Oreochromis niloticus: one gene and its partners. The protein of the gene in region 4 purifies or fractionates together with the protein of the main gene of each other region. This does not show direct contact. Links are inferred from orthologs where the notes say so. Each region holds a gene or a part of one and is shown on either strand. Other genes may lie near its edges.

Region 1 (7,293 bases), on a different chromosome or scaffold from region 4:
TCTGACAGTGGATCTGAGTCTCAATCAGTGTCTCCACAGTTGCCTCCTTCCTGGTGAGGTCAACGACTTTGGGCTTGGACTTAATCCCCACTTTCTCCATAAGAATTTCCAGCTTGTTCCTCTGGTCCAGATTCTTCTTCTTCTTTTGAAGGAGGCGAGTGGGAAGGCTGTGAACCATCGTCAAAGTGGCAGAGAACACAAAAGTTTGCCTAGTGGGATTGAAGTGTGTCGTATTTAGCATTTCCAGCAAATTCTCCAGCTCGGCAAAATGCCCTCTTTCTACCATGCGATCGGCTTCATCAATGACCAGGCACCTGTGTCATAAGAAGAAGAGGAATTAAGAAAGGATAACAAAAATCTAACAAATAGGCCTGCCTGAAAGACTTTATCACAGAACACCGAATCACTGATCTATTGCTCAAGGCTCTTTCACACATGATATGATTTGAGGGTTAAAATCAGTGTCAGTAATCGGGTGAAGGAAAAAAAAAAACCTTATTGTGGTATTGTGATATTTTGTGTGGCGATATTGTATTGATACAGGAACACCAAATATTAATATTTTATTAAATACATTAAAATACTCTGGGAAAACTTTGAAAAGAGGGCTCGATTCACTTGATAGGAGGCACCCTTCCTACTAACAGGTGTAGTCTGATTTGGACTGACTGCAATCACTCTGCAAATAATTGTTATCTAATATATGAAACCAGACAGATAGCCAACATGTTTCCATGAGTCTGAATGAGTCTTTCTCAATGTGCACAGTTCATCAACTGGCTGCCAGCTGGTTCTATTTTGGGTATATTCTTATAAAACAGGAAGGTTGATGAGCGCAAGTTAAATGTTAGTAAAATAAAGTAAAATAAAACATATATTTAACTTTAGGAAATAACTTGCAGTTTAAAAAAGGTGACATATTTTATTGGAATACTCAGCATATCACAAAATAATAAAAATCATGATAATATCATATCATAAGTGAAGCGCTGTGATAATATTGTATCGATTACCACCTCTAGCAAATAAGTCAGTCTTAAATTAAGACTCACCTGAGCTGCCTGAGGTTGACCAGATGTGGGTGCCTCTCCTTGATCAAATCCCACAAACGCCCCGGAGTTGCTATGATGATCTCTGGCCTGCGTTTCAGCACTCGTCTTTGTTTCTGCTGTGCCATTCCACCCACCACTAAGGCTGTTTTTATATCTGCACAGCAGGAAAACATTAGCTATGCTGACATTTATAGATCTCTTAGAAGAAAACTGCTATCGTAATACTCTGATGAGCTATGACTTACCTGTGAATTTTGCGACAGCATCAATATGATGTTTGACCTGAACAGCCAGCTCCCTGGTGGGAGTGAGGACCAGTCCTAAGAGGGGTCGACTCTGAGCACCAGCGGGTTTTTCATCAAAATCAAAGTCTGCATTCTTGATTACCCGAACACATCCAAGCTGTTCATCTTCTACATCGCTGTGTTCATCTTCATCCGAGTCTCCTTGATTCTGATCCTCAGCATCTTCATCGTTTTCTTTAGAAGCCTCCACTCCCTCCTCTTGGTCCTCTTCAGCTGATTTTGTGTACTCATCTACAGATGGTAAGTACAAACTCTCCACCTTTGTGACTGGTTCAGCGTCATCATTAGGTTTTTCTGGGCTATGCTTCCACTCCAGGATGGTATGGATTATGGGAATGCCGAAAGCCAGTGTCTTGCCACTTCCTGTAAGTACAACATCCGTATTAGCTTCACTTTTAAAAATCTGTGAACAGAACATTACACTATAAACCTATCACTTTTATCTTACCAGTTTCAGCTGCTCCCAGTATATCCATACGATCCCTGATAGCTGGAGGCAAACACAGGGCTTGGATCGGTGTCGGTGAACCAAATCCAAGACTGCTCAGTGCCCTCAGGACAGGTGGGGGGACAAACAGGTCCTTCCATGCACTCATGTCAACATTTTTGTCTTCAGAACCAGAAAGTGCAGCGTTTGTCCAATTCTTTGCCTTCTTGTGTGGGGCCTTTGTCACTTTATTTTGACCGGATTTTTCTTTTTCCAGATCTGATGAAGACTCTGGGTTTGGCTGTTCTTCTGGGACTGTATCCTTCACTGTCTGCTGCCCTTTCCCCTTTTTCTTCTTCTTCCTGCTCCTCTTTGTATCTTTGGGATCAGCAGTGATGGCTGCAGAATCATTTTCATCGCCCTCACCTGATACCTCATCCTCTCCTCCCTGCTCAGTGGCAGCATTATCCTTCTGCTTTACGTCTTCTGCAGAAATATTTTCCGACTCCTTTGCAATGCCTTTCTTGTTTTTCCTCTTCTTCTTGGCTTTTTTCTTCGCTGGCTCACTTGTGCTCTCCCCCTCTTTGATCCCCGAGTCTCCTTTCTCTCCAGCCTCCTCGCCGTCACCAGCTTTTCTTTTCTGTGCTTTCTTCTTCTTCTCCCTTTTCAGCTCTTTTGCTGCTTTGGCCGCAGCCTGCTCACTGTTTATTAAACGGTAATCCGTGAGCTCTTCGAAACACACCAGACCCTCCAAGCCCTCCTCGGAGAAGACGCTGGGATCGAGGTCTATGGTTTTCCATTTGCCTTTCATGTCGATGCAACGTTTCGCTGGCTTCCCCAGCCCGGTGGACATGCCTTTGTTTTTCGCCTTCATCTTCTTTGTCTTCATTTTTCTGAAAAAAAGTAAAGGTGTAAAATAAGTGACTTTAGCCGACCTCGTGAAGTTCCTAACGTTTAGTTGTTAAAAGCACACGTGCACCCCACGTTTCTTAACGCCAGCGGACAACTATTAACCGATAATTAACAGAAACTAAGCGTACAAAGTCTACAGTAAACTACTAGTTGAATTAATGAGTACTAAAGTCTTACCTGGACTGAGTGTAGGCTCTCTTAGACTTCTGCTACGATTACATCAACGCGAGACACGAGGGCGCAGCCATGACAGTGTTGATCACGTGGTTTGAAAAACTTTATTTAAACAACAGGCGCTGTTTCAATTTCTCTGGTCATTTTAACCCCTTATACCGCCTACATAAACGTTTATAAAAATTTAATAAACGTTTAAATAATACCCGAGGATGTCAAGGGTTTTAGTTTATCAGCTTTCATTTTAAGGATAATACGCTGTAATTTCTTAAGGTGTATTGAAGTTTGTGCCGAGGGAGTTGCTTCACTACAGTAGTATTTATTATTAGTAGCAAATATAATTAAAATTATTTTTTAATGAAGGTTGTACCTGACAAACTAGCATATAATCTAGTACATAAATAAATAAACGCATTTGTGGAAAACAAAGTTTTCATTGGGCTCTCTGCCGTCCTGTAAAATAAAATAAAATAAAATAAAACAACTACACCCTTATGTTTCAGGAGCTTGCGGAACCACCTTTAACGGCGTATAACTGAAGTAATCGCTTGTTGTGTGACTCTCTGGGAGTCTCCCACATCATTGTTTAAGAATTTTAGCCCACTCTTGCTTCAGTTCTTGAAGGTTGCAGGCATTCATTTATGCACAGCTCTCTTAACGTCCTGCCACAGCATTTCAGTCGGGTTGAGGTCTGGACTTTGACTGGATCACTGAGTCAACATCTTGATTCTTTCCTTCTTCAGCCAGTCTGTTGTAGCTTTGCCCAAACCTGCGATGTTCTGTTTCATTACACAATGAAATTTGATCATTTGACTCACTTGTATACAAAGAGTTCACCTATGACTCAATGACCACAAAATGCCAAAAGTCCTTTGGTATGATATGTTGTGTTTGGTTTTCACAAAACATGGCGTTGTGCATTGTGCACTTTGGTCTCATCTGTCTGGTTTTCTTAGATGCAACTTTGAAAACTTTAGCCATGCTGTTTGATTGTACTGTCATGAACATTGTTTAACATGCAAACTGAGACTTGTAGAGTAGGTGGTGTGTGTGTGTGTGTGTGTGATCAGGTAAATTAAATAAATTTGACTAGAGTTCCTCTTTTTAAAATTACTGTAAGCAAAATCTTTAAGGCAAAAGAAAACTGTTTCTTTACAATTATTATAGTCAGCCGGTAGCATCAGTTTAATAACCTGATAAGATGTGCATTATTAGAACGTGGTACTGATGTTTTGTTTAATTTGTCGATTAAGTGATTACATTTATGCTGGTTGTCATAATTTGGAGATGTACGTACATTTAAAAGATCCAAGTTTGTGATGCAGGTGAAGTTTTTATTATTATTGGTGAAGTATGTTGTAGGAACAGAACAGAAAAAAAAAGCTTTAAACTGTCTGGGATTAAAACATCCACCAAATTAGTCATGTAGAAGCCACTTAAGAATGAACACATTACAGTGGCAAAACTATTTGTTGGTGGGGTCAATCACCCTCCCCATGAACAGCAGGCAGTTTGTGTTTTCATGGTATATGAAGAAGAAGAAGGGTCTGTTTATAGTGAAGGTCCTCGGCAGGGAGTATGGAATGATACCCATTGTTGTGGCAGCTGCTGCAGTTGTTCCTGTCTCATCCACGTCAATCATGGCCTTGTGAAGCACCTACAATTTCACAGCAAGGTTAAAAGTGTTTTGCTGCACTATTTGGCGAACAGGCACATATGTTGCTACATGACAGTGAAAGTGACAACTAACCTCTGACAGCTTGAGCCCTTTGTCCTCACTGAGCTTTGTCAAATTGGACAAATTACTAAAGACACTGGTCATGCCCATATGCGGTAGAAGATTATGGAGGGAATACGACTGCTCCATGTTGAATTTGGGCATCTTGACTTCCAGTTTCCTGCAAACAAGACATGAGTTGACATGTTGAATAGACTGGCTCATCTGCTGCTGCAGGCATTGTTTTATGGTCATTTACACTTTTGTTAACCGTTGCTTTTTACAGCTAAACAACAAAATATGCAGACTCTTGGTTAAAGCGAGGCATTTTTCCTCACATACATTTTTCTCAGTTTTGCGATCCAGCTCTGAAACCTCTCTGCAGTAATCTCATCATCCACCATAGTGTAGTCCATGTCTGGGTTGGGGAGCAGGATAAGCATGGAAACACCCTCTTGGTATGGCAGTTTCAGCACTTTGGCTCTCAGAGAAACATCTTCTGCAGTGTAGTACTTGTCTTCTTTAAACATCATAGGCACCTGCACAATATTATAATTATCGATGTAGAAGGGTCCATTTCGAGTGAAATTGGAGTTGAAAGGCATCTTCCAGGCTCCTGTGGAGGAGGTAATATTGTACGTTTAGTTATAAACAAAACAGTTCATAGGTGCAGACATGAATATTAGTATAATTAATAGCACATAAACCCATAAACCCAATATCTAAAGTGTGCAAAAAAGATTTAATTTACCTTGAAAGAAAATTGCATTCATTAACAGGAGTTTGGTCTGTTCGTCCAAGGCTGAAATCATCTCTGTAATCTTGCCTTCAGTCTTGTCCCTAATGTACTCATTAATTACTCTGATACTCTCTGTTGTGTCCGCAAAGTCAACAGTTTTGATATCTGCATTAAAAAACTTATTGATTTTGGTTTCAAACTCCCTCTCTATGATAAATTGGGGTTGGATAAACAAGGCCATGCTATGATCAAATTTCAGCGATCCATTTTGCGTGACGTTCTCGTGAAGGAGTTGAAACAGTTTAGGGATAAGATCCGGCTGGTCAGCCCTCTCCAGCGCCTCCAGGTTTAGTACCTTCAGGATCTCCTTGTGTGTGACACCATCAGAAGCCATTAGAAGAGCCGCAAAACTGGTAGAGATACTCAGGGGGGAAAAAAAGATGTTCTTGTCATGGTAACTGGATATCTTTCTGTAAAGGTTCATGGCAAAGTCCATATTTTTGAAGGAGAGATCTGAGATGGTGGCACTGTTAGGTCCAGCTTGGTGGATAGGAGTCAGAAAGCACAGGAGGGCCACAAAGAAAAAACAGGCCATCTTCATTTTGTTTAACATCAAAATTAGAACCTAGAAAGTTTTGCGTGCACACCCAGAAACGAGAAATTAAAAACAAAAAGCACCACTGTACAGCAGCACAATCACTAAATCTACAAAAAATATAAGATTACACCAACTGAATACTTATTTCTGCATTATACTTAGAAAACGCTCTGAAATTTTGTATTTAAGTTTAACAAAATAACACCACGTACCTTTCAGCTTGGCCCAGATTGTGCCTGAAATTTCTCTGTATTTTTTGGGGGGAACAAAGTGCAAGTGTGCTCTACATGTTACACATTAACCACAAAAAACGTATTCAGAGGTGAATCCATAAGAATCAATCGATAAGTAAATGAGACACGAGAAGCATTGGGAGTGAATTTCACTTTAATCCTGGAACGAGAACCAATATATTAAACAAAAGAATGTGCTGTTCTAACATGAAGTATAACAAAAATAATGAATTTAAGAACACAGTGAATAAAATAATAATAAAAAACCCCCCAACTACCAACATTTTCTAATTTTTCACAAGTGCATTTTAAATAGAAAAAAAAAATAGCAGATCCAAAGGAAACAGAACAGCAACAAAATCTTGGAATCTTCTTAAAAATCATCCAGCACAATAAGCCAAACTTTGCATGACATCCAACATGTTAGTGAAGGCATCAAGACACATTTGCGCTGAATGGTCAGTTCAATGTTCTGAATGAATGTAAAGTGTTTTAATGCTGTAGTTTGGTGTAGTCACGAGGACAGATTCTCACTTTCAGGACATTACGGTCCTGTAGAGAAAAATAAGTGAGAATAAGTCAAATCAACCACTTCGTCAAAGGGTAGGTGATGTGACACATTTGTTTTTTTTTTTCCATTTTCAAGGTCATAATCAGCAAATAAATGAAACCAATGAATCTTTGATTTTCTAACGTGTGCCCCCCCCCCAACCCCCCAACCCCCCAAAGACCAAAAAAAAAAAAAAGAAAAGAAACCAAAACAAGTCTGGAAATGCCAGAATTTTGGCTTGTGTGATCATACACTGCTGGAACTACTCATGTTTACATGATGCTTCTTTGTTCCCCACTTATTCTGGACAAAAATAAGAAAAAACAATGCATCAGTGATAAGCAATTTAAATTCAGCAAAAAGTCCTACACAATTTTTTTTCATCAATCTGATCAAAAAGGACAAGACACCCTTAAATTGTGTCTGTAAGCCTTGCCTAATCATACGTTTCATTATGCCTACATGCATACTTATAAGTAATAAAGCCACGACATCCAAAATATGCAGCTCTCTAAATGCCTGGGGAGACCACCTGTAGACTGTCATGTATTGAGGTTGATGATGTAAAGAATAAATAACCCACAGA
Region 2 (7,380 bases), on a different chromosome or scaffold from region 4:
GAAAGCTCACTGGTGCATGTTGTCGCAGTAATCCCAGTACCAGATGGTACCTGTCAGCTCCACCACCTACAAGCAGAGTGCAGCTCTGGCAGTAGCTGACACAAAAACTCAGGTATGGAAGGAGTTCAGTTAGACCGTGGAGAAAGTGGTTACTCTACCACATAAAAACTCATAAAAACCTTACAATTTGTAACATTACTCGTAATAAAAACAATAAAAGCAATAAGATAATTGCATTACCTTTTTCATCAGCCTGTGGATCTTCTTTACTTTCCTCTTCTTCACTTGTTTCTTCACAGTATTTTGAGGAACTCCTGTTAGACCTCCACCCCTGTGACATGACGAAAAATAATAACCAAAACTGCTCTTTAGTTTCCATTAAAAAAACAGTGACTTTAATAACACAGCACAACAAAGCCAAGATGAAGTGTGACTTACTGCTCTCCTCTGCTCAGACGAGCACACAAAGGCTAAAGGTAGGCCCATACTGGCCATCATCTGAGTTTCTTCATCCAGCTCCTCCACCTCAGTCTCCTCTTCCTCCTCCTCTTCACCATCATCTACGTCTATGAGTTGAGAAATGTATTTTTAAAATCATGGCAACTAAAACTAGACAGTACAGCGAGGTTAAGAGAGCCACATTCTTCTACAACACAGAGTATTCAGTGAGAACACCAACTCTTTACCAAATTCAAGTCCGTCTTATGAGATGTTAGAGAATCAGAATCATGTTCCTCAGAACCTGCTAAAAAACACGTACCACCAACCCCAATTCCTGATACATTTCATAGATGATTATTTTAATCCCCAGTACTATTAAATATCATGATAGGATAGGATATACCTTGTACAGTGTTTTCCAGGTCAGGCAGAAGTCTGTTATCAGAACGATACAACTCTCGATCCCTGTAAAGAGGCGATGGACATAAAGGACAGATGTACTGTAGGACATCCATAGATGCATCTGTACATATCAGCGTATCCACTAAAACTCAAGGTTTTTGGGTACTGAGAACAACAACATCTAAATGACTGTGAAAATATAAAGTAATATACTTGCATTCATACAGAGTTTTTCTACTCCTATTCAACACTCAAAGCATTTGACATGACACACGATATTGCCAGAAGTATTCATTAAATCGTTAAATTCAGGTGGTCCAATCACATCCGGGTGTATAAATCAGCACCTGGGCATGCAGACTGATTCTACAAACATTTGTGAAAGACTGGGTTGCTCTTAGAAGCTCGGCGAATTCCAGCGTGGTACTGTGATACGATGCCACCTGTGCAATCTTGAAATTTCCTCGCAACTAAATATTTCACAGTCAACTGTTAGTGGTGTTACAACAAAGTGGAAGTGAGTGGGAATGACACCATCTCAGCCACAAAGTGCTAGCACGTAGTGCACAGGTCACCAACCTTTTGCAATTGCTACAGAACTCCAAACTTCACATGGGCTTCAGATTAGCTGAAGAACAGTTAGGCAGCTGCATTGAACGGGTTTCCATAGCTGAGCAGCTGAATCCAAACCTTGCATGACCAAGCGCCACGCAAAGCATCTAATTCAATTCAATTCAATTCAATTCAATTCAATTTTATTTATATAGCACCAAATCACAACAAAAGTCGCTTTATATTGTACAATAGATCGCACAATAATAAATACGGAGAAAACCCCAACAATCATATGACCCCCTATGAGCAAGCACTTTGGCGACAGTGGGAAGGAAAAACTCCCTTTTAACAGGAAGAAACCTCCGGCAGAACCAGGCTCAGGGAGGGGCGGCCATCTGCTGCGACCGGTTGGGGTGAAGAAGGAAAACAGGATAAAGACATGCTGTGGAAGAGAGACAGAGATTAATAACAGATATGATTCGATGCAGAGAGGTCTATTAACACATAGTGAGTGCAGTGATGTAAAGCATGCTGCTATTACTAGACTTAGAACAAGCACTCTGTGGAAAAGTAAAAATCTCCTGCCTTTCATAAGCTCCAGTATTTGATAACCACCAATATTTAAAGCTTTAACACAAACACCTCTCACAGCCTAAAGGGAATTTTTACAAAATTAATTAATTTGAGCAGAGACTGTGAGCCAGGTCTTCTCATCCAACATCCTTGTCTGACCTCACAAGTACATTTCTAGAAGAAAAGTAAAAAATTCCATGAACATACTCCTAGAAAGCCTTCCCAGAGGAGTTGAAGCTGTTATAGCTGCAAAGGGTGGGACAATATCATGGGATGTCACTCAAGTGCATATGTGTGTGAAGGCGGACGAGTGAATACGTTTGGCAATATAGTGTATGATAAGTTTCCACCGCTCTGTGTGCAAGACAACACCTCTCCTGGTGTGGCAGCTCATACCACACACTGCTCATCTTTCCAATTCAGACTTAGCACACAGTTGCTAACATTTTCTTGTGGAGTTTAGCACACCATTGTACTAGTAACAGTAGCAGCCTTGTAATAACTGCGATTTATTCAACTGTGATTGATATAACTTTTAAAAACACTGCTTTGTGGTAGTCTTCAATCAAGTCAGTTATACAACAGTAAATCGGCTATTCATTAAAACGACATTTAATACACGAAATTTCAAAGATTTGACTGGTTTTCATTTCTTGCTGTCTTTTAATAATCCACACTGGCTGGTTGCCATGGCAGCCTGGCTGAGATGTCAAACACCGGTTTAGATCAGACTGTTGTTCGACATGCGGTAAATGAATTACGTGTATGAGAATAGCTCTAGCGGACAGAGGAAAGGTGGTGGAGGCTCACTGTACGAAGGCTCTGGAGCAACGACAATGAATCGTTTCTTCCTCCTGCAGTGACTCCTTCTTGCTGAAGATGATTTCCGCCACCAGGGCTACTCTTCTCATTTCCAGCATCATGGCGGTTAGCTCGCTACAACAAGAAACACACTTTCATTTACCGACGAGCTGCTCGCGTCTTTAAGCAGCATGGGACTCTTTCCTTTATTATTGATTATTTCCGCACTAGAAGCTAACAGCGGATTTTCCGCTATTTTTCAAAATAAAAGTTGCAAAGTAGTTTTTCTTCGGCACATTAATGTAACTATTTTTACTGAATTTATTACACTTTTTTAATTTAATGGCACCTTTTGACATTTTCCACTTTTACTTTTGAGGGATATTTTCTAATTCTCTATGACTGTATATAGTTACTGTTTGAAAGCTGGTGCAATTCAGTTTTGTTTTTATTTTGAAGCGAACGAGTCGACCCGGAAACTCTTTATTGTAAGCCAGTAAGAACTCTTTCATCGGTACAGCACAGTTTTAGGATAGAAATCTGTGACTCTGTGTTCCCCCAACGACGTTCCGGGTTGATGAACAGGATAGTTGATAGCTCTAAGAAGTATAGGTTTTGCTAGTGTAATACTGAATATCGTGCTACATTCTAATGGCACGCTTTACCGAGTAAGCAGTCGGTAGGTACCGTTTTTATGTTTGTAACCGTGGAGTTGGCTTATTGAGAAATGTCAGATTTTCCGGCTCCTTCAATGAGACTTAGCTCTCAGTCAGTTATTATACCGTAGCCCGAGTTCGCTGTTGTCATTTTGCTGATCAAATGTAGCCTCTTCCTATTCCCAGTAAAAAGGTGGTGGTGTTCTAGATACTAATGCTATGTAAAGTTGCTGTCATTTGATTTGATGTTAAAAAGCTGCTGGTGTTTATTAGAAATTGTAGTTGGTATAATACGTGCTATTTACATCTTTTCTGATCTGCGTAATCCACTGCGACTGTGTATTTGTAAATGTAGTCACAGAACTGAGTTAGCGGTGTCCTCCTATACCTCCTTCTTATGTAGCAGCCGGTGTTCTCTATGCAGTCTACCTGAGACCTGATCTGAGCGTCACTCGGTTGAGCTGGAGTTCTCGTGGCTGAGAGCAGAGCACTATGTCAGGCACTGGCAACCAGTCATGTCTGACGGGCGCGGAGGACACTCTCTCTCTCTTGGTATGCATCCTGTCCATGCATTACAGGCACCTAGGACTTGATAATGAAATCGAGCTTACCTAGAAACAAATGTGTTATTTATTTAACATCAGCTTTGGTGTTCATGCATTATTTTATTTTAAGACGCACACAATACAACAAATTTTCCATAATAGAGGGTTAGCACTGTTGCCTCACAGCAAGAAGGTCCTGAGTTCAATTCCACAATCAGGCCGGATCTTTCTGTTTGCATGTTCTCTCCCAGTACTCCTACTTCCTCCCACAGTCCAAAGTGCTTGGTGAATTGGTGAGTCATTGCCCATAGTGTTAGCCCTGCGACAGACTGGCGACCTGTCCAGGGTGTAGCCTGCCTCTTGCCCTTAGACAGCTGGGATAGGCTCCAGCCCCCCACAAGGAGAAGCAGAAAAAGATGCATGGATGGATTTTCCACAATATGTTGGCAACAAGTGGATAATAAGTCCCACAGTTTGAATAATGGGATGTCTCTCCAGCCCTCTTTGAGGCCCTCTCCTCCACAGAGGAGGCGTTCAGATCGTGGGCCCCACGCCATTCTAAATTTAAATGTAGATAATTTGTCCCGAAATGTAGTTGTTATTACGATCTCACCTGGTATTACAAAGAGTGTTATACTATCACTATGTCACATGTTAAGTTGTGAAAAGAGCTTCTATGGTGTCAATCGCCTAGAAACTCTAGATTCTCCCTCAGTGGTATTTTATGTCCAACTGTAATGTTACATAACACTGTTAACCAGTTTTTAAAAGTAATGCTAATACAAACAAGAATGTGTTGCGTATTTTAAAGTTACCTATCCAGTAATTATTGAGATGTTTTCATCTGGACCAAAGTGATGGATGTTAGTATTGACATTCTGGTCCTGGTCAACAGGTGTGTTTGTTTCATGCATGGGAGGAATGGGCAGGTCTTGATCAAGAGGACTATCTGAGTGTCTTGGAATACCTGTTGTGGGTCTTCACACCCCTAGCCATCGTCTTCATTGTGCCTTTCCTCATCGTTATCTTCCTTTACCTCTCTATACTCTTCCTTCATGTCTACAAGGTACGTAAACAGTCCCTACAGTCTCAGTCACATAAATAGAGTAACACAAATCAAAGACCTTCACTGTTTAGTTATCATCTACAGTTCCCTCTATAATGTTTGGGACAAAAACACAATTTTAGTAGCTTTGCCTCTCGACATCTGCACAGTATTTATAGGACTGTCTGACTGAAGTGCAGACTTTCAGATTTAAGTAAAGGAGTTCACAGCTATTTTTTTTTTTTTTTTACATAGTTCCCTATTTTTAGAGGGACAGTTGACTGGCAAGCAGTTTCATGGACAGGTGAGGCCTGCTCACTTGTTATTTCATAAAAAAATAAACCAGTTGATTCAAAGTATTGAGTGGTATTTTATAGTTTTATATATGAGGCCTAAGTAGGGATGGGAATTGATAAAAATTTAGTAAATCCAGTTGCATAATCAATTCTCATTGAGACCATCTCTAAGCAGTATGTCACAGACATTAAATTCATGCATGGTCAAATGTCTGTGCACACTGGAGGTGTTTCCCCAGTTTGTTGTGATCAGTGTTGGGATCATTACTCCAAAAAAGTCATTACTGCACATATAACACACAACACTTTTCTTCAAAGTAATGATTTCTTTGAACTGTTCTTTTTCCAGGTTTGGAAAGATTGTACAGCATACATCTTTCATTACTTTAAAAAGTAAAAATTGGGTGCACAAATTAGAAGTTATTTTGGATTTTCTCTAATTCAATCGGGAAAGTCTTCAACACTACTTTAGATAAATAATGGTCTCTCTATACTCCATGTAATGTCAGGAAGTTGGCAATGAGTCGTTTACTTTAACCTACTTACATCAGACATTTTTGACTATGCTTGTTGACATCACACCTTTTTTTTTTTAGCCTTTATAGGATAGAGACAGTGTAGATCAGGGGTCGGCAACCTGCGGCTCTTTAGTCCTTATATTGCGGCTCGGAAAAATAAATTATAAGTATTTAACTGAAGTGTTTTTTATTTGTGTTAGTTCTTTTTTAAAACTTGTAGTTCTAAATTGGAAGATTATTGCGATCTTGAATAATAAAAATAAAGTTATATTTTATTATTTTCGTTGTTCAAAATAAGCGTCACACTCTTTGAAGCCGGTATACCCGCCGAAACGACGTGCGTTTACCGAGACTTTCAGCCCCAGGTAGGCCTAGTATGGAGAACTGTAAGAAAAGAAAAATATCTGAAGAAAATACAACATTTAACGATGCCTGGGCAGAGTCATTTGTATTTACTTCTGACGAGAGTGGCCTACCAGTATGTCTAATTTGTGGCGTGTCGATCTTCGGATCCACATATGTATGTGAGCATCTGTTCTCCACCATGAACTATGTTAAAAACAAACACCGCACACGCCTCACAGACGACAGCTTACAGTCCTGCGTAAAGATGAAAGTGACTTCGTACAGCAGACGCTGTGCGCAGAGGTTCAGGAGCAGAAGTCCGATTGTAAACACATCACGGCACCGACGATGTTTACATGAACATGCTCTTCAGCATCTCTTTATTGACCACTTTTCACACACACAGCCGGCTGTAGCTTTCCAGCGCACAGCCCGACACATACAAACAAGAGCAGAGAGAGCAAGCAGGTGAGGCGTGATTGCGGATGCCACTCAGGTACGTCTGCCTCTCCTGCAGCGTCACTGCGGGCCACGCCCCGCGAAGCACATTAACCCGGTAAAATAAATATTATGCAGATATGTTGAAAATATTTATTTTTAATTTTTTAGGAGCATAGTGCTTTTTTCCAATTATTTTTTAAATTCTGGTCAAGGCTCCGCTCCGGGAAGCCCAGAAGGCGATATAAGGATGACGGCTCACTGTTTTTCTTTTGCTACATGGATAATTTAAGTTCAGCTTTTTAATTCATTTAAAAGACACCTTCAACTGGTTGACTTTATTTTTAGTTATTATTTTTTAAGGGGTGACAATGTGTTCATTACATAAATAAAATTTAATTTTCTCCGTCTTCTCTTTGCTGACCCCTGGTGTAGATGGACAGGAAGAGGGGAGACGGAGAGAGAGGGGGGAAGACATGCAGCAAAGGGCCGCTGCTGCTCTCGGGCCATACGGCATATGCTCGCCTGCTCGCCCGCTGAGCTAAACCGGTGCCCCAGGCTGTTATATTTGTGCTATTACTGTCTCTTCGATTTTTTTGTTGCAGAGAGACGTGTTAAACTGCAACTCTACTTACTGTTTTTTCCCCCAATTATCTGTAAAACGCACATCATTTTTGATCGCCACTGAGACATCCAGAACAGGAGACCATGTGGCCAAACATGTCACTCCCAGTCCGACTGGGGAGGGGGAATGTTGGGAAAACA
Region 3 (7,823 bases), about 13 Mb from region 4:
ATGTCCTTCACCTTTCTTATCAAATTTAATCCTTTTCCTTTTTGTAGTGTTTATATGGTTAAAAACATTGATGAATAATAATATTTTTGAATATATTTTGCAGTTTGTGTTGTGTATATAAAGTAATGCAAAGCCTAGTTATAGATCTAGTGCAGTGCTTTGTTCCTGACCTGACATTCAGATTTAATCATACAGACTTGTGGTTGCAACAGGAGCACATACTGTCATTTCAATACTATAGCTCATTTTACGTCTGCTTTGGATGATTACAATGTTGTGGCTCATAATCAAAAGCCCTATTGAGAATATGAATGGGATTTTTACTTCCCAAACCTCAGTGTTGAGGTTCATAGAAGTCCATGCAAAATCATCGCTCCGACTTTACCTTGGAAAACACCTGAGTTTACGCGCTCAGTCACTCATTTTGGATAATACTGCATAAAACATTAAGTGACTTTTATAAATTTTGGTCACCAACTTTCAAAAATCATGATTATCCAGGATGTGCTCATTGGCTGACACATTTTGATTGACAAAATGCCCCAAAACACCGAAGAGAGCGAAGGTGAAAACATTCATCCTGAGACATCAATACAGAGCTTCACAAACCAGAAGGTGACATCATGGTTGCTACATCCATTTTTTAGTTGGTCTATAATCAGGCATGGCAGTCTGGTGAGAGCTGCAGTGTTCAAAAGTCATGAAAGTAAAGAATGAATGGAAATAACATCAGTAGAATTACATCTTTTTTTTTTTTAGTTATTCCCACTCAAAGGGGGTCAAAAAACAAAGCTATGAACCAAACCAAAGGATTTATGCTATAATTTAATTACACCACAAATTATACAGCATAGTCAACAACAGTACAATTTTTCTTAACACTTTGCTGGCACCATAAAGTTTGATCAGCATTACTGACCTGCTGTGTCCACCGTCCTTGGCAAAGATTCGGATGGTCTTGTCAAAGCTGGCAGACACAAACTCCTTCCCCGTGGGAGCATAGTCAACATCTAGCACAGCAGACACATGGTCCATGTGTACCATGATGGGCTTGGCCAGGTACCTCATGTCATATGTGTAGAGGCTGGTGAAAAGGAAAAAAAAACAAAAAACAGTTTCTATGAGCTGACAAAAAAAAAAAAAAAAAAGGAGGACCAGCTAAAATGTGATCATATGATTAAATCAGAGTTTCTTTCCCAGACTCACTTGTAGTCCTCATTTGCACATGTGAAGTAATAGGCTTCCATGGGGTTCCAGCTTAATGTGTTGCTCCTCATTGTCATGATGACCTTAAGAAGAAAGTGAGAGCAAAAAGTAGCTGATTATCATGCCACATCCATGTAAATTAACAGGGAGATAAACGGGTACATTCCTGCACAAACTGTAAGGGGAGATTTACCTTTTTAAGTGGTGTAGATTCCCTCATGTCATAGAGCACTATACTTCTGTCAGAGGCACAGCTTGCAAGAAGTTCAGTCTGTGGAGAGGATAACCCTTGTCTTTATTTATCAGCACATGTGTTGGCTTTAAGTCGCCATAAACACTTGTGAGCTTATACGTCCAAGCAATCTTTTTCGTCACATGACTGGAGGGCGGGGCCCATGTGTGTGAGATAAAGCACGTGGTGTCTTACCTCCACAGGGTTAAAGTGCACAGAGCTGAAGCTGTCTACACCCCAGGTGAAAGAGCGGATCGGGCTGCTCCTCTGCTCATCCCAGATGTCCACCTGCTGGCCGCACGTTGCAAATACAGGATCGTTCTGATGATGGTCCAGACCTGTGTACACAGTCTACAAGGGACATTTTTTTTTCATTCATACTTCACCGATACATGAATATGCAATTCTATGCGATGAAACAGCAAAATTATTACAGCATACTTTTCCCAGGATGGTGTTAATTGGCTCCTCTTCTTCTCCGTAGCCTGGTGATTCCATCTTCCATTGTTTGATTGTTTTGTCATCACCGACCTGTTGCAGAAAAAGAAGGCACGTTAGATGTCAGCTAATATGAAGTCAAACAATTCAGAAAGGTCTTCAAAACGATGATCAGTTACCGTAAAGAAAGAGGTCCCACAGTAACGCACAACCATTCCCCGCACAAAACCTTCATGTGCCTGAAACGTCCGAACGCACTCGTGTTTGGACAGATTCCACACCTTCACCTGAAGATCAAATCCAAAAGGAGAGTCCTGTCAGTTTGCAAGAAAGGCTGAGATTAAAAGGAAATGCATCTCCACATACCTCCCCATCACAGGAGCCTGACAGCAGGGTGGAGAGGCTCTTCGCGTGCTTGGCCATACAGTTCACCCCATCTCTGTGACCATCCAGCGAGGCCACGAAAGGCTTGGCAAACACACGCTCCAGCTTGGTGGCGTTCAGAGCCCGAGTGTACTCCCTGCTCACCTCAAACGGATGAAGAGAGGGGTCATAGTTTCTGGGGACTAAAAACACACAGCAGTCACTTCTTTACGTGCTGACAGAAAAGAGCATTTCCATTAATTAAAAAAATCTAAGTATGCAGGTATGTTGATGCTAGCCAATTCATGTATCACAGACTGTTTTTAGGTTCCATAATAAGATTATAGGGGTTTAGAAATATGTGAAGCAAAATTTGCAATTCCAAATAAGCTAAATGCAAAGACAGATATGCAAAATGAGATTAACAGCATGACTGTTGTTTCAGTAGCTTTAATCAGATGCTAACCCTGTAGCTCTTTCGTATGTATGCTGTTAGCTATTTAGCCGAAGTGTTTCACTTACCGCGCTGGATATCCAGTTTGGTCTCCCGGACATAATCATCCGGGTTCCTTGCGATGACTTTAACTTTCATTTGGTAGCGAAGGGGCACACTCTTACAGAAAAAGGAAAATTACAGCAACAAAAATATTAGCAAGTAGTGAACACACCAGCCATGTGTTGATAGCATTGGTTGCTAGCGATGAGAGTCAGCGATCTCGCGTTGCATTGTGGGATGTCCTGTCCTCCTCGTTGCATCCATTGACTGTAGTCAATGGTTGCGTCAGTCACAAGTAAAGAAACGAGTTTTAAAGTTACAACATTTAGAAAGAGAAGGACCGGAAATACTTTTTTCGTTTATTTGTTTTCAGTTAAGTCAAGGAAACCCAAGGCCAACCTTCGGAGAAAGGTTCACGGCGACTTCAAGGGACCTTTACCGAAGACACAGAATAAGATAGACATAATAATTAAGTTCAAAATTACAAAATTATGAAGAAATAAAAGATATATGAAAGCCTGTAAAAGCACTATTTAAATCATTATTTGAATAGCCACACTGATTTTATGTAATTTATGTGGAAAACGTATATTTTTAATATAGTTAAGTTTTATCAAACATGTCCCCCGAGCCATCATACAAAATATGTTCACGTAAAAAATCCTAACTTTTGTATTAGCAAAATGAATACATAAATAAATAAAGCATAAATACTATCTTATTTAACGTGTGAATTATTCTGAATTTTTTAACCGGAAGTACTATTTCAACAACGGGAACTTGTCATTCCTTAATAATAACAGCAAGGTCGAGCACTGGCTCTGCGACTTGACACTTGGAGAGTGCGTTACACCTGTGAGGTACCTCCGCATGTTAGAAACGTGGTGCGTCATTAGCACAGAGATATGAGGAAGCTTTTCCGTCCTCGTACTGTTTGTAAACTCGCCTCAGTTTTATAGAGAGAGTTACATTTTGACACGGTGCGTGCTTGCGGTGTTGTAAACAGTACTAGCCGGTAGGATCTAGCTAGCTACCCAAGTTGCCCATGAGCTCCGCTCCAAATCACGGTCCCGTTTCAGAGACAGGACTGCCCGGCAAACCCGTGTCTGCTGTCTCGTTCGGCGGACGACTACAGAAGGTCTTTAGCCATGTGAGGGTAGAAAACCTGATCGCGGGACTCAGCGGGGGAGTGGTGTCAACGCTCGTGCTTCATCCCCTGGACCTGGTCAAAATCAGGTTTGCAGGTACAAAATGAAAATATGAAATTTTAAAAGTAATTTCCTTACTGTCTGATGTGCCATGCTGCTATGACTTTACTTGATGCTGCTGAGAAACTACTGCCATGATGTGTTTAATTCGTATCATATGACTTCAAGGTCTGTAATGTCTTTTAAATGCAGTAAGTGATGGACTTGAATTAAGACCGAAGTATAGTGGCATGCTGCACTGCATGAAGAGTGTCTGGCAGCAGGAGGGACTGAGAGGACTCTATCAAGGCGTGACACCCAACGTTTGGGGTGCTGGTGCATCTTGGGGCCTCTACTTCTTCTTGTACGTAAGCTATAAGCCTTAAAGAGGACATGAAACACTACACATAAAAGCTAATTTACATCATGGAGCCCTGCTCGCAAAAACTGACATAGGTGTAACACTGTCTGTGAAGCTGGATAAGTGCTTAAAGTTAAAGTTTTAAAAACAGGATTAGCTCCATCTTCTGACTTCATGTCGTTGGTTGGTTGCGGCTAATAGGCTTACATTAGTTTATGTTAGCTTACTAGTGACAGAATCGATAAGTCAGAAGAAAACAAGGACACTGAAACTAAAAATGAGTATAAGGCAATCACTTTTATGCCGCCCCTGGCTGTAACAATGAGTTTTATGTTAAGAAACCGAGGATATACTGTCCACTTTCACTGTCTGTCTCTTTAGCAGTAAGTGGCTGCTTGTTGTTTTGCTAGCTGCACTGAAACTGGAAAATCTAGCTGTTAGCCATAATGTTTGGGATTGTACAGCACTCTATGAATGAAAAAAGCAGCATGTATGACTTTACAACTGCAAGATGTCTTATTGCCCTTGCCCTGTTCCCTCACAGCTACAATGCAATCAAAGGGTACACAAAGGAAGGTCGTCAGGCTGAACTGAGTGCCACAGAATACCTGGTGTCAGCGGCTGAAGCTGGTTAGTACTACCCGTGTTTGAACACTGCCGCACTACAGAACACCACTCCCCCACCATATAACCAGCACATGGTCAATAACACCAGCTAGATACGACTGCTACAAACTGGTAGTAACTGACAAGGAGTTAGTTACTTCTGGTTCAGGGCAGCCTCAAGTGCTCGTGTGAATGGGGAAAAAAAGGCATTTACAGCCTTTGCAAGGTTTTCATGGGAAATAAATTGAAGAATCCAGTGACAGGGGAAGTTTTATAGCTACCATCAACAGCATAAAAAAATGAAACCAAAACAGATATGTTTTATTGATTTGATCTTGTGATTTATTTATTTATTTTCCCCATCAGGCACTCACATCATTCTAATGAGAATGAGAAGGTTAGAATGATGCTTGGGTGGCATTAAAGTGCACCAGTGCACTCTGTTGCGCTTCTTGTTCACTTTGGTGACATGATCAGCTAATTCCAAACTGTGCTGTGCACAAACAGCTGGGCATTTGTGTGAGATCTCTAGCACAACTTCACATAAGTCTTTTTTTTTCCTGTACCACTTCAAAGTTTGTGAACTCCTTGGTCCTGTTCTTCATGTCATAGATATTCAGTTATAGTAAATGACTCTTCACTGAGGGGCCTGTGTGCTAATAATCACGGGTCTAATAAAGTAGTAGAAGTCACGTGTGCTTCCTAGTGACATTTCCTTGCTTGTCCTTGCCTAGGCATCCTCACACTCACCCTTACCAACCCAATCTGGGTGACCAAGACCCGGTTGGTGCTGCAGTACAGTGCTGACCGAAATAGCAAGCAGTACAAGGGGATGTTTGATGCTTTGGTTAAGATCTACCGCCATGAAGGAGTGTCTGGACTCTACAAGGTGAGACATGAGTGTGTTGGTGTTCCTTATGATGTAAGATTTCTTGGTTAGCAAGTTTAAACATTTGGGAGGGGTGGCTTAAACTGGGAGATTTTTCTACACCTGTTAATGCCAGAATGTTCTAGTAGTCTTTATTATTTACAAATAATTATTCTCAACTCTTCTTCTTTAACATATTATCCCTGTTGAGTAACACTTGTAGACATGATTTCCTCTTCCGTGCTCCTTTTTGTCTCCCTGGTCCCAGATGGTGAGATTCAATGTAACAAGTTGATAACCCTCGTTTGTGACAGCTTTTCTGTCACTTGTTTGGTTCTGCTTAAACATGCATACTGTGATTTCATGCATGGCATCTCAGCTTTGTTACTGAGATGGCAAACTAGCAACAATTCCTTAAAGACCTGACAAAAAAATAGTCCACTGTGGTTTTCAGACTACCTGCTGGTGTCAGAGGAGAGACTGTGCTGTTGCTCGCTTAGATAACAACATGGTGTGTTTGTGTGCTTTGGGGATCATTAGGTTTACCACCAAACATTCAGTGGTGATTAGGACTCATATTTCATATCCATATTTTGGGAGTAAGTACACTCATTGTTAAAGAAAGAAGCCTCAGCCCTGGTGCAGCTTTTGTTGGTTTGCTCAGTGATGTTCTGGCGTGTTTTCTTTTTGAATTATTTTGCTTTTTTTCGTGTTTCTAAGTGGGGAGACAAATTAATGTGCTCTGAATATCCCCTCAGATCTCACCTTTGCTTATTTTGATAGGAATACTGAAGACCTCGTAGGCGCTGTTGACTTTAATCACCACTAGAGGGCATCAGCTGCCTTTCTAGCTGAAAAAAACACAACCCATTTATGCAGTAGTAGAGGTTTTAAGCAGTATGTCAGCCTCTTCATTAACAATATTGAATTGTAATTTGCTGTCGGAAACAGGATATCTAAAGTTCCAGAGAAAATAGGGCCAAGGGCCCTTAATTTAATTAAGTTCATATAACGCCAAATCACAACAACAGTCACTTCAAGGCTCTTAATATTGTAAGGTATAAACCCCACAGTAATAACCACAACAATCAGACGATCCCCTATAGCAACCAGTTGGCGACAGTGGGAAGGAAAAACTCCCCTTAACAGAAACCTCCAGCAGAACCAGGTTCACTAAGGGGAGGGAGACAAGACAAAAGACACACTGTGGAAGAGAGCCAGAGATTAATACTAACTAATGATTAAATGCAGAGGGGTGTATAAACACACAGAGAGCAAAGAGATGGGGAGCCACAGATTTGTGGGCTTTTCAGTGGATAAGTTGCACTGTGGGAATTTGAGTCTCAAGTCAGATCGACTTACAGAGTATGTCTTTAAAAGGGTTATGTTCCCGGTCTGCTCGGCACGTCTCACGGAGCACTGCAGTTCATGGCCTACGAAGAGCTCAAGAGAGACTACAACAAATACAGAAAAGCACATTCAAACGCAAAGCTGGTGAGTCACAGACCGTGAGCCACAGACAGGCTGGAAACATTGTTTAATAAAACTCAGCCATAAGGCTTGTAACTTTTGAGTCTAATGAGACAGAGTCCACAGTTGATAACAAGTGACTCATCAGTTTTCCTACACTGCTCTGCTCCCTTCTTCCTCCCTCCATTTATCTGTCTGTGGGAACAGAACCCATTGGAATACATCACAATGGCAGCATTATCCAAAATATTTGCCGTGGCCACAACATACCCATATCAAGTGGTGCGAGCTCGCCTGCAAGACCAGCACAATAGATACAACGGAGTTATTGATGTCGTCAGACGGACATGGAGGTAAGACACCAATCCGCTCACAGTGGGACCGAGCGTGCCGCCCCCGTCTCAGGCTCTGAGCACAGTTCGAGTGACTGTTATGATTGATGCTTACCATTTTCCCACTTGTCTCCTCAGGAATGAAGGCACCCTTGGTTTCTACAAAGGCATCATCCCCAACTTGATCCGCGTCACCCCAGCCTGTTGCATCACCTTCGTGGTTTACGAGAACGTGTCTCACTTTTTTCTCGGGCAAAATAAATG
Region 4 (7,073 bases):
GCAAAAAACTGCATAAAAAGCACTTGCAGCATGAAAAACAATATTCCAGAAACAGGCTTTGCAAATACGATCAGCTGTTCAAAACACTTCCTACGTTGGAATAGACGTCAGCGCGAACTATCGCATGTCCACCATTACTTGCCCGAAACCGGAAGTGACGTCATATTCGTGGAAAATGTAGGGTTTTTTTTAACCTTCGGGGCCTTATAAGCCTATACTGGTGTTTTTAAAAGTCATCTTTGACTCTATGCTTTTCTGAATAGTTTCTGGGATGCTTAGAACTCAAATTGCACTGCTGGAAATAGTTTATTTTGATGCACATGCGGTTTTCTTTGCAAATTTGGATTATAATACTTATTTTCGTTTTTCCTGCAGTATATAAAAATTGGTGTATCTCAAAAATAAAACTGAAGACACTCAAAATAAATTTCCTGTTGCTGGAAACTATTTTGTGCAACTTTTTTGTATTTACAGTTTTGAGGGATAAGCCTCTTAAATTTCTCTAAGTAGAAATATATGTTAAAAAAACAAAAATGATTTTCTTTTTTTGTAGTTTATTGCACTTTTTTGCAATTTATGTAATTATTATGCACTTAATGCATACATATTATTAAAATTTGGGATATAACAGTTGTATTGATGTATAGCAACTTGAAATGCTCCTAAAAATGGCACTACAGCATGTAAAATGTAAAGAAACTCTGGCGGACTTGGTTCTATGGTAGGTCTTAAAGGGTTAAGAAACAAGTGGAGCGCTCAATGCTTGGTTAAAATGCGGTGGTCTGGTGAAAGCGGTGGTGTTTAAAGATTGCTCGGGTAATTGGAGAAGCAGAAATACAAAGCAACACTTCAGCTGCTGTTTGTGATCAAGTGGAGCACCCAATGTTTTGGAAGCTGCTTTAACTCCGAAAGTGTGTTCAAAACACCAAAACTGTTACCATTTGAACTTAACAGCCTATAATATTATATTATTAGCAGATACCTGAATAAAAATATTTTGTTCTGTAACTGCTTCAAGTCATCATCCTGGCATTTGAGGATGACATCCACGATGTGATGATACAAACGACACGTTTCCAGTCTCACCTCTTCCTCCCCGGAATCCTCCCCGGAATCCTCCTCGTCCTCCGCGATCACCAAACCCTCCTCTGCCTCCACCGCGTCCTCCACCTCTTCCTCCTCTGTCCATGCGAGGACTGAAACCTGAAACCATGAATCATTTATTATATGTGTAAATAGACGGACACATCTATAACACTTATTCACCCAATCATCTTCTCTTAAGCACTTTTATCCATTGACATTCACACACACATCACATTGAGTGCATTGGAGGAACTCTGGGTTCAATATGTTGCACAAAGATGCAGACTGGAGTCGGTGTGAGTCAGTCCATCAACCTTGATAGATGAGCCTGAGCCACAGCTGCCCCACATGTGGATCTGGAGGTTGTGAAATACCAACAGAAACTTCAAACACACACCATATCCACCTCTTCAAAACTAGCAATGTTGGAACAACACGTTCAAACTTGAAGTTATCCACAGTAACGTGGCAACCAGACCACTGAGAGTCAAGGACGATGGTGCCGCTTTTACACTCATAGCTACTCATCTTCAAAAGATTCTGTTTTGGTCGTTTTCCATTACGGCCGAGTAACACCTCCATGTGGGTGTGGGCGTTATAGCGATGTGGCTAAAAGACCCGTGATCTCATTTGTATGCCACAAACACCAAAGAGAGGAGGAAATCAAGATGATGGTATCCCTGTTGCTCGGTGTATGGCTTCTTGTCGGGCTCTGAGACCACAGTGTTGTTCTTTGTCTAGCTGTGTTTGGTTTTTTTTAAAAAAAAGGTAATTTAGATTTTTGTGAATGAGTTACTCTCAAGACTCACTAAGTGATGCCACCGATGGGCCAACCATTCCACTGGTGTCACATTTTTGACCCCACTCAGCTCACTTACAACCCCTTACGAGCAGGTTCCCTGGTATCAGGTACAAACACCTACTGGAAACCCTAAAAGCAGAGCCAAGCAGGCACTAGTGAAACAGACGGCCCCTGCAGGTCAGACAGCTGGTGCCAACATGAAGGTGGGACCTGACGTTTTTCCCAAATCCCAGATGAGCCAAAGCAACCTTTTACAGTACATGGCTGCCTACGTCAGTGCCGCCATCTTGGATCGTTAACCCGGGTCGCTGGGGCTGCTCGGGATTTTCGAGTGCGAAACGCGACTTGAGGTGGCGCTCCAGATTTAAACACCGACTTCCGACTAGCTGAGGGACGCAGCATAACACGCACATAACGTGGTTCTTCCAACACGCCCCACACTCAGAAACATCCTTCATAAGAAGTAACAGGGAGGAACACGGGCTAAGACTCGACTCACTGACTTCTGTGTCGGCGTGCTCAGCGTGGCCGTCCCCGTGATGTTTGGACACTTTCACCGAACCGCAAACACACAAAGTTCCGGCCGGGCTAACGTTAGCGCGAGCTACGTCTCGTGGAGCTGTAAACAGTTCGAGCGGGTTACAGACGGCACGACCCGACTTTGAGTAAAACCGTAACTCTGGTTGTAACGGAGGTCGCTGTGTGGGCCCCACTGAGTCCCAGACACGTGCGTGGAGCACAGCGCGTGTTCAACTCAGACTGCGCGGACACATGAACGTCTCACCGTGAACAAAACACGCGCTCAGGCAGCCACTGTTCGCCCAAGTCTGCTGTAGTTTTCACGGACAACGTGGCCGTGTAGGCCGTCCACGCAGTGTATCTAACTGTACAGGCTCATTAAATACACGATCAGACATCCGCCCGCATTACCGAGTATAAGCACATGTAATCTTACTGTACCTGGCTTCATCGTTTCTGGCGTAAACTACTGAAATGAACGCAGCCCGCGGAGTCGAATCGCTTCTCTTCTGTGTTGATCCTCAGTGAACAGACACGGTGTGATCACGTCCCACGTGCAGCTGTGCGACCGAGCACAAACTTTCTTCTTCTATCTAATCTACTGCTGCTTAGCAAGCAAAATGGCGCATTACCGCCACCAACTGGACACAGACGGAAATCTTGTTTTCAAACAGACGACAGCTGCTCTCAGCTGCCGGATGTTGTGCCAAAACAACCTTCCTGTCACAATGTTGAAGCCGGAATCCGTCTTTGATTTCTGATTGATATCTGCATCTAAACGATAACGGTCACTCTTTCGAGGATGCTAGTGTTCACATTTCACATGGTTTGAAAGAGAGTCAAAGCAGCACTTATCTGCACAATCTCATACACACACACCAAGTTACTTTTTGCACAATGCTCACTCTTGTGCACAACCCGCTGTCGTTGTTGCACTTTTCTATTGCACTGTCTTGTGTCTGCATTATTCTGTTCTGTCTGGTGTTGCACTCTCTTTGTTTTGGTTTTGTTGCACTTTATGTAATCCTGTGTTGATTGTCTGTTATATGTAGCAGCGTGGTCTCAGAGGAACGTTGCTCCGTTTCACTGTGTACTGTACCACTGCACATGGTTGGAATGATAATAAAGCCACTTGACTTGACTTGAGAACCACCTATGTCCACTGTGAGCAGCCATCTTTGACACCATCTGTCTGCCATCTACAAGGCAGTTTGAGATCCCTTCCCAGACGCTTAACAGACCCTTACCCCCACTCATATCATGCGTCAGGTGATCTCAATGGGTCGCATAAGGTCTCACAATAGTTTCACCCAAAACCTCTGCTAATAATGACCCCACACCCTTTTTCACACCTTGGTACATGTGATCAATATTGTTGGTCCTCTTGAGGGCCAGCTCCCACATGGGATTACATACCCAGGATTCTGCACCCTTTGGTTTTAGAAGTGAAGAAGCTTGATGAGAGGTGAAACATCTTCAAGAAACTTAAAGAAGTCCAGTTGTTTTTCTCCAAGCTCCCTGGATGAGACAACTATTAAAAGACCACTTCAAAATAACAAGAAAGTCTTTGTACTGATGTTAGCTAAATGATCAGAACACACAGACCGTACAAGCACATCACTGCTGCTCAGAGGAGCAGGGTATAACTGTTTTTGAAAGGAAATCAGATTCAGATTCATTTCTATTGAGCAGAAATGTTGGAAATCACAGTGAATAATTACTGAGTCATTTGTCATTCTGATATAGGCTCAGAGCATCATGGGAATCCCCCACACCCCTTTTCACTCCCCATGTGTTTATATGCCACTACTGCATGTCATTAACATACATCTTAGTTCCTCTTTTCTTCACCCTCATCTGAACGCAGACGGCTGAATTAGAATCTTTATTGTCAGTGTGCTTTAAGAACAACGGAAACTGTATGCAAACCCGCTCAGCAGGGGCGATTCTAGGATCAGAGCTTTGGGGGTGCTGAGCACCCAGAGAGCTGCCCATCCAGGCAAGATAAACTTTACACGTCACGACAGAGACTGTCAGTCCCTGCATCCTTAAATGTCTCCAGTTGTCCCGAGTTCTCTCTGACTGTCTCCTTGGTGCATTTAAACCCCTGTTCCTCCCTGTCCTCGTCGTCTGTTGTCTTCATCTCCGTTATCAGTCATCAGAATTTTACCATCTCTGTGCAAGTCTGCAAATTTCTTTCTTAAATCAGAAGATTCTTAAATTCATCAAGTCTCTCTGTGCCTGGGTCCTCGTCACAAAACATGACATCACTGTTTTGTACATTTTAACACAATTTAATCCCCACATTTGTGAAAGAAAAGCAAAACACTTTTTTGAAAAGTCTGTAACAAAATCATAAATCTGATAAAGTTTATTTAAATGCCACAAAAGAAGAATGGATTGGAATATAAAAAAATACACATCCTAACCTTAATTACTGGGGGAGGATAATGAATGATGATCATAGTGAGTAAAAAGTAAACTGAGTGCATTTTTTGGACAGAGATTCAGTTTTAATGTGTATGTATAATATAATACAGATACATAAAAATACTCCCAAAACAGAATAAATTATTACGAATAAATTGAGGGTTGAAGCACCCCCCAAAAATGGGCTAAAATCGCCCCTGCCACTCAGTGTAAGTGAAAAGAGCACACCGTTAAGAAAAAAAAGAAGAATATATATACAATAAATAACAATACAAAAATAAAAATAAACTAAATAAATAAATAAAATATAGTACATAGTATATCCAAGACTGTATATAAGAGTGAACAATGAAAAATACGGTTGACCCACAGTGATATAGTCTGTACAAATTTAACTGTACAATATTTGTATTTTCACAGTGGCTGCCCTTTCATGACCCTGGTTTCTCCTCCTTGTTACTCTTACAAAGAGCTGTTCAGAGGGGATCTCTGATTGATGGCACCTTGATTAAACTATAAAAAATCTATAAATAAAACTGAACAAGTCAAATATTAGGCCCATTTCCAACAACAATGAGTTCCAGTGTCACATTAATGCAAGTTTAAAATGTTAAAATGAACAAACTCATTGGATATAAGTTTACAGTTTTTACACACACAAAAACGGATGAATTAACACAATTTATCAATGATCAATTTTATGTAAATCTGTGTTGCTGCTGAGGCAGAGACCGTCCAGAGATGCTGGCAGCATTGATTTAAATGAAAAAGAAAACCTATCATGAAACAAACACGAGGTGAAATTAGCTATCATTAGTGTTTGGGTGTACATAGAAGTGCGATCAGTGCAAAAAACATGACCTAACACTTAAGAGTTCACAGTAGCCTACTATATTCAAGGACTCACTATGGCCATTTCAATAAACCTGCATCTTGAAGACACTTGCAACGACTACAGCCCGGCCTCCACAGTCACCTGACCTAAACCCAAAGGAGATGGTTTGGGATGAGATGGAGCGCAGAGTGAAGGCAAACAAGCCAAGTGCTCAGCATCTCTGGGAACGCCTTCAAGACTGTTGGAAACCATTTCAGGTGACGACCTCATGAAGCTCATGGAGAGAATGACAAGAGTGTGCAAAGCAGTAATCAAAGCAAAGGGCGGATATTTGGAAGAATCTAAATTATAAAACATGTTTGGAGTTATTTCACACTTTTTTGTTTGATACAGCACACTACGATGTGTGCTGCTGGTAAAGTTTCTGGGCTGTCTTTCCTCATAACAGCCATCCCTCAAGATTCTCTCCATTTAAAGCAATGCGATATCAGGGACAGTAACATCTAGTCCTTTTACTGAACCATACATGTTCATCCATAGTGTTGATGCCTTGAGTGAGAATCTACAATGTAAATAGTCATGAAAATAATGAGAAACCATTAAATGAGAAGGTGTGTCCAAACTTTCAACCAGTAGTAATAAAACACTACAGCTAATAGTCAAGCACCCAATGGAACTGTGTGAGCACTGCAAATAACTGGGCTGTGTTCAACATGTACTGTTAGGATGCTGGTCTGTGTTTAGGACACGAAGGCATTAATAGCAATCTCTGAGGAGCTGAAGATAAATTTGACATTAGAAAACCTGCTCGGAAGGGCACTGTCTCAAGTTTATGGCCAACTGTTGAAATCTGTGATTTTTTCCAGATCCACACTCCAGTCCAGCAGGCGGCGGTAATGCGCATCTAAGCTGGTTTACCAACCGCCATTAAACTGAAAAGAAGAAGAAGGTTACAGTCTCATGGCCATCAGTCGAGGCCCAGGCACTTTTTAGCAAGTCAAACATCACAGAGTTAAATAAGCCAAAGACACTTTCAGGGAGTTTCATGTAATAACAGTTAGACACAGGCTAAGGGTTTGAATCACACGATATCACAGAAGGAGCATAGGTTTATTTTAATTGCTTTTACATTATGGAAATGTTGTATTGTTTTAAAATATTGTATGGTTTCATTTATACAGCATTGAAAAGACGGTTTTCCATTGGAAAATTTGGTTTTATATCTATGAATTTTAGCCAGTAAAATGAGTTAATTAATCAAATTGCCCTATTTGCAGATTAATCAAAAAAATATTTCCCATAACAGAGAGAGAAGTCAGAATAGATAAAAGAAACAACAAAAGTACAAAAATCTGTCCAGAAAAGATTATAGCTGGAGCAGGACCAAAATAAGTGAGACAG

The links.
Region 1: the proteins of fbl (region 4) and ddx24 purify together in Homo sapiens (affinity purification with mass spectrometry; 3 studies listed by BioGRID and IntAct, with this or other methods). This does not show direct contact. The link is inferred for Oreochromis niloticus from reciprocal best matches to the Homo sapiens genes FBL and DDX24.
Region 2: the proteins of fbl (region 4) and tgs1 purify together in Homo sapiens (affinity purification with mass spectrometry; 3 studies listed by BioGRID and IntAct, counting the BioPlex papers as one, with this or other methods). This does not show direct contact. The link is inferred for Oreochromis niloticus from reciprocal best matches to the Homo sapiens genes FBL and TGS1.
Region 3: the proteins of fbl (region 4) and dcaf13 purify together in Homo sapiens (affinity purification with western blotting; 3 studies listed by BioGRID, with this or other methods). This does not show direct contact. The link is inferred for Oreochromis niloticus from reciprocal best matches to the Homo sapiens genes FBL and DCAF13.

Annotation. Positions count from the first base shown.
Region 1 is NC_031983.2:11,422,781-11,430,073, reverse strand, and holds the start of ddx24 (ATP-dependent RNA helicase DDX24), read right to left. Parts: upstream 3,014-7,293; 5' UTR 2,874-3,013; intron 2,678-2,873; 5' UTR 2,674-2,677; coding exon 1,806-2,673; intron 1,721-1,805; coding exon 1,298-1,720; intron 1,207-1,297; coding exon 1,053-1,206; intron 315-1,052; coding exon 1-314. Other genes in the region: serpina10b (protein Z-dependent protease inhibitor), read right to left, coding at 4,336-4,527, 4,621-4,768, 4,930-5,203, 5,339-5,939. UniProt on the Homo sapiens protein: ATP-dependent RNA helicase that plays a role in various aspects of RNA metabolism including pre-mRNA splicing and is thereby involved in different biological processes such as cell cycle regulation or innate immunity.
Region 2 is NC_031982.2:1,809,361-1,816,740, forward strand, and holds the start of tgs1 (trimethylguanosine synthase), read right to left. Parts: upstream 3,007-7,380; 5' UTR 2,899-3,006; coding exon of another isoform or gene 2,895-2,898; coding exon 2,782-2,894; exon of another isoform or gene 2,733-2,781; intron 1,593-2,732; exon of another isoform or gene 1,423-1,592; intron 907-1,422; coding exon 845-906; intron 567-844; coding exon 439-566; intron 332-438; coding exon 241-331; intron 1-240. Other genes in the region: tmem68 (DGAT1/2-independent enzyme synthesizing storage lipids), read left to right, coding at 3,921-3,980, 4,869-5,039. UniProt on the Homo sapiens protein: Catalyzes the 2 serial methylation steps for the conversion of the 7-monomethylguanosine (m(7)G) caps of snRNAs and snoRNAs to a 2,2,7-trimethylguanosine (m(2,2,7)G) cap structure.
Region 3 is NC_031976.2:15,122,670-15,130,492, reverse strand, and holds the start of dcaf13 (DDB1- and CUL4-associated factor 13), read right to left. Parts: upstream 3,017-7,823; 5' UTR 2,832-3,016; coding exon 2,762-2,831; intron 2,443-2,761; coding exon 2,243-2,442; intron 2,164-2,242; coding exon 2,056-2,163; intron 1,970-2,055; coding exon 1,880-1,969; intron 1,790-1,879; coding exon 1,634-1,789; intron 1,478-1,633; coding exon 1,400-1,477; intron 1,290-1,399; coding exon 1,207-1,289; intron 1,085-1,206; coding exon 920-1,084; intron 1-919. Other genes in the region: mitochondrial folate transporter/carrier, read left to right, coding at 3,781-3,979, 4,136-4,286, 4,828-4,913, 5,624-5,778, 7,138-7,251, 7,435-7,580, 7,698-7,823. UniProt on the Homo sapiens protein: Part of the small subunit (SSU) processome, first precursor of the small eukaryotic ribosomal subunit.
Region 4 is NC_031976.2:1,782,032-1,789,104, reverse strand, and holds the start of fbl (rRNA 2'-O-methyltransferase fibrillarin), read right to left. Parts: upstream 3,019-7,073; 5' UTR 2,859-3,018; coding exon 2,849-2,858; intron 1,204-2,848; coding exon 1,087-1,203; intron 1-1,086.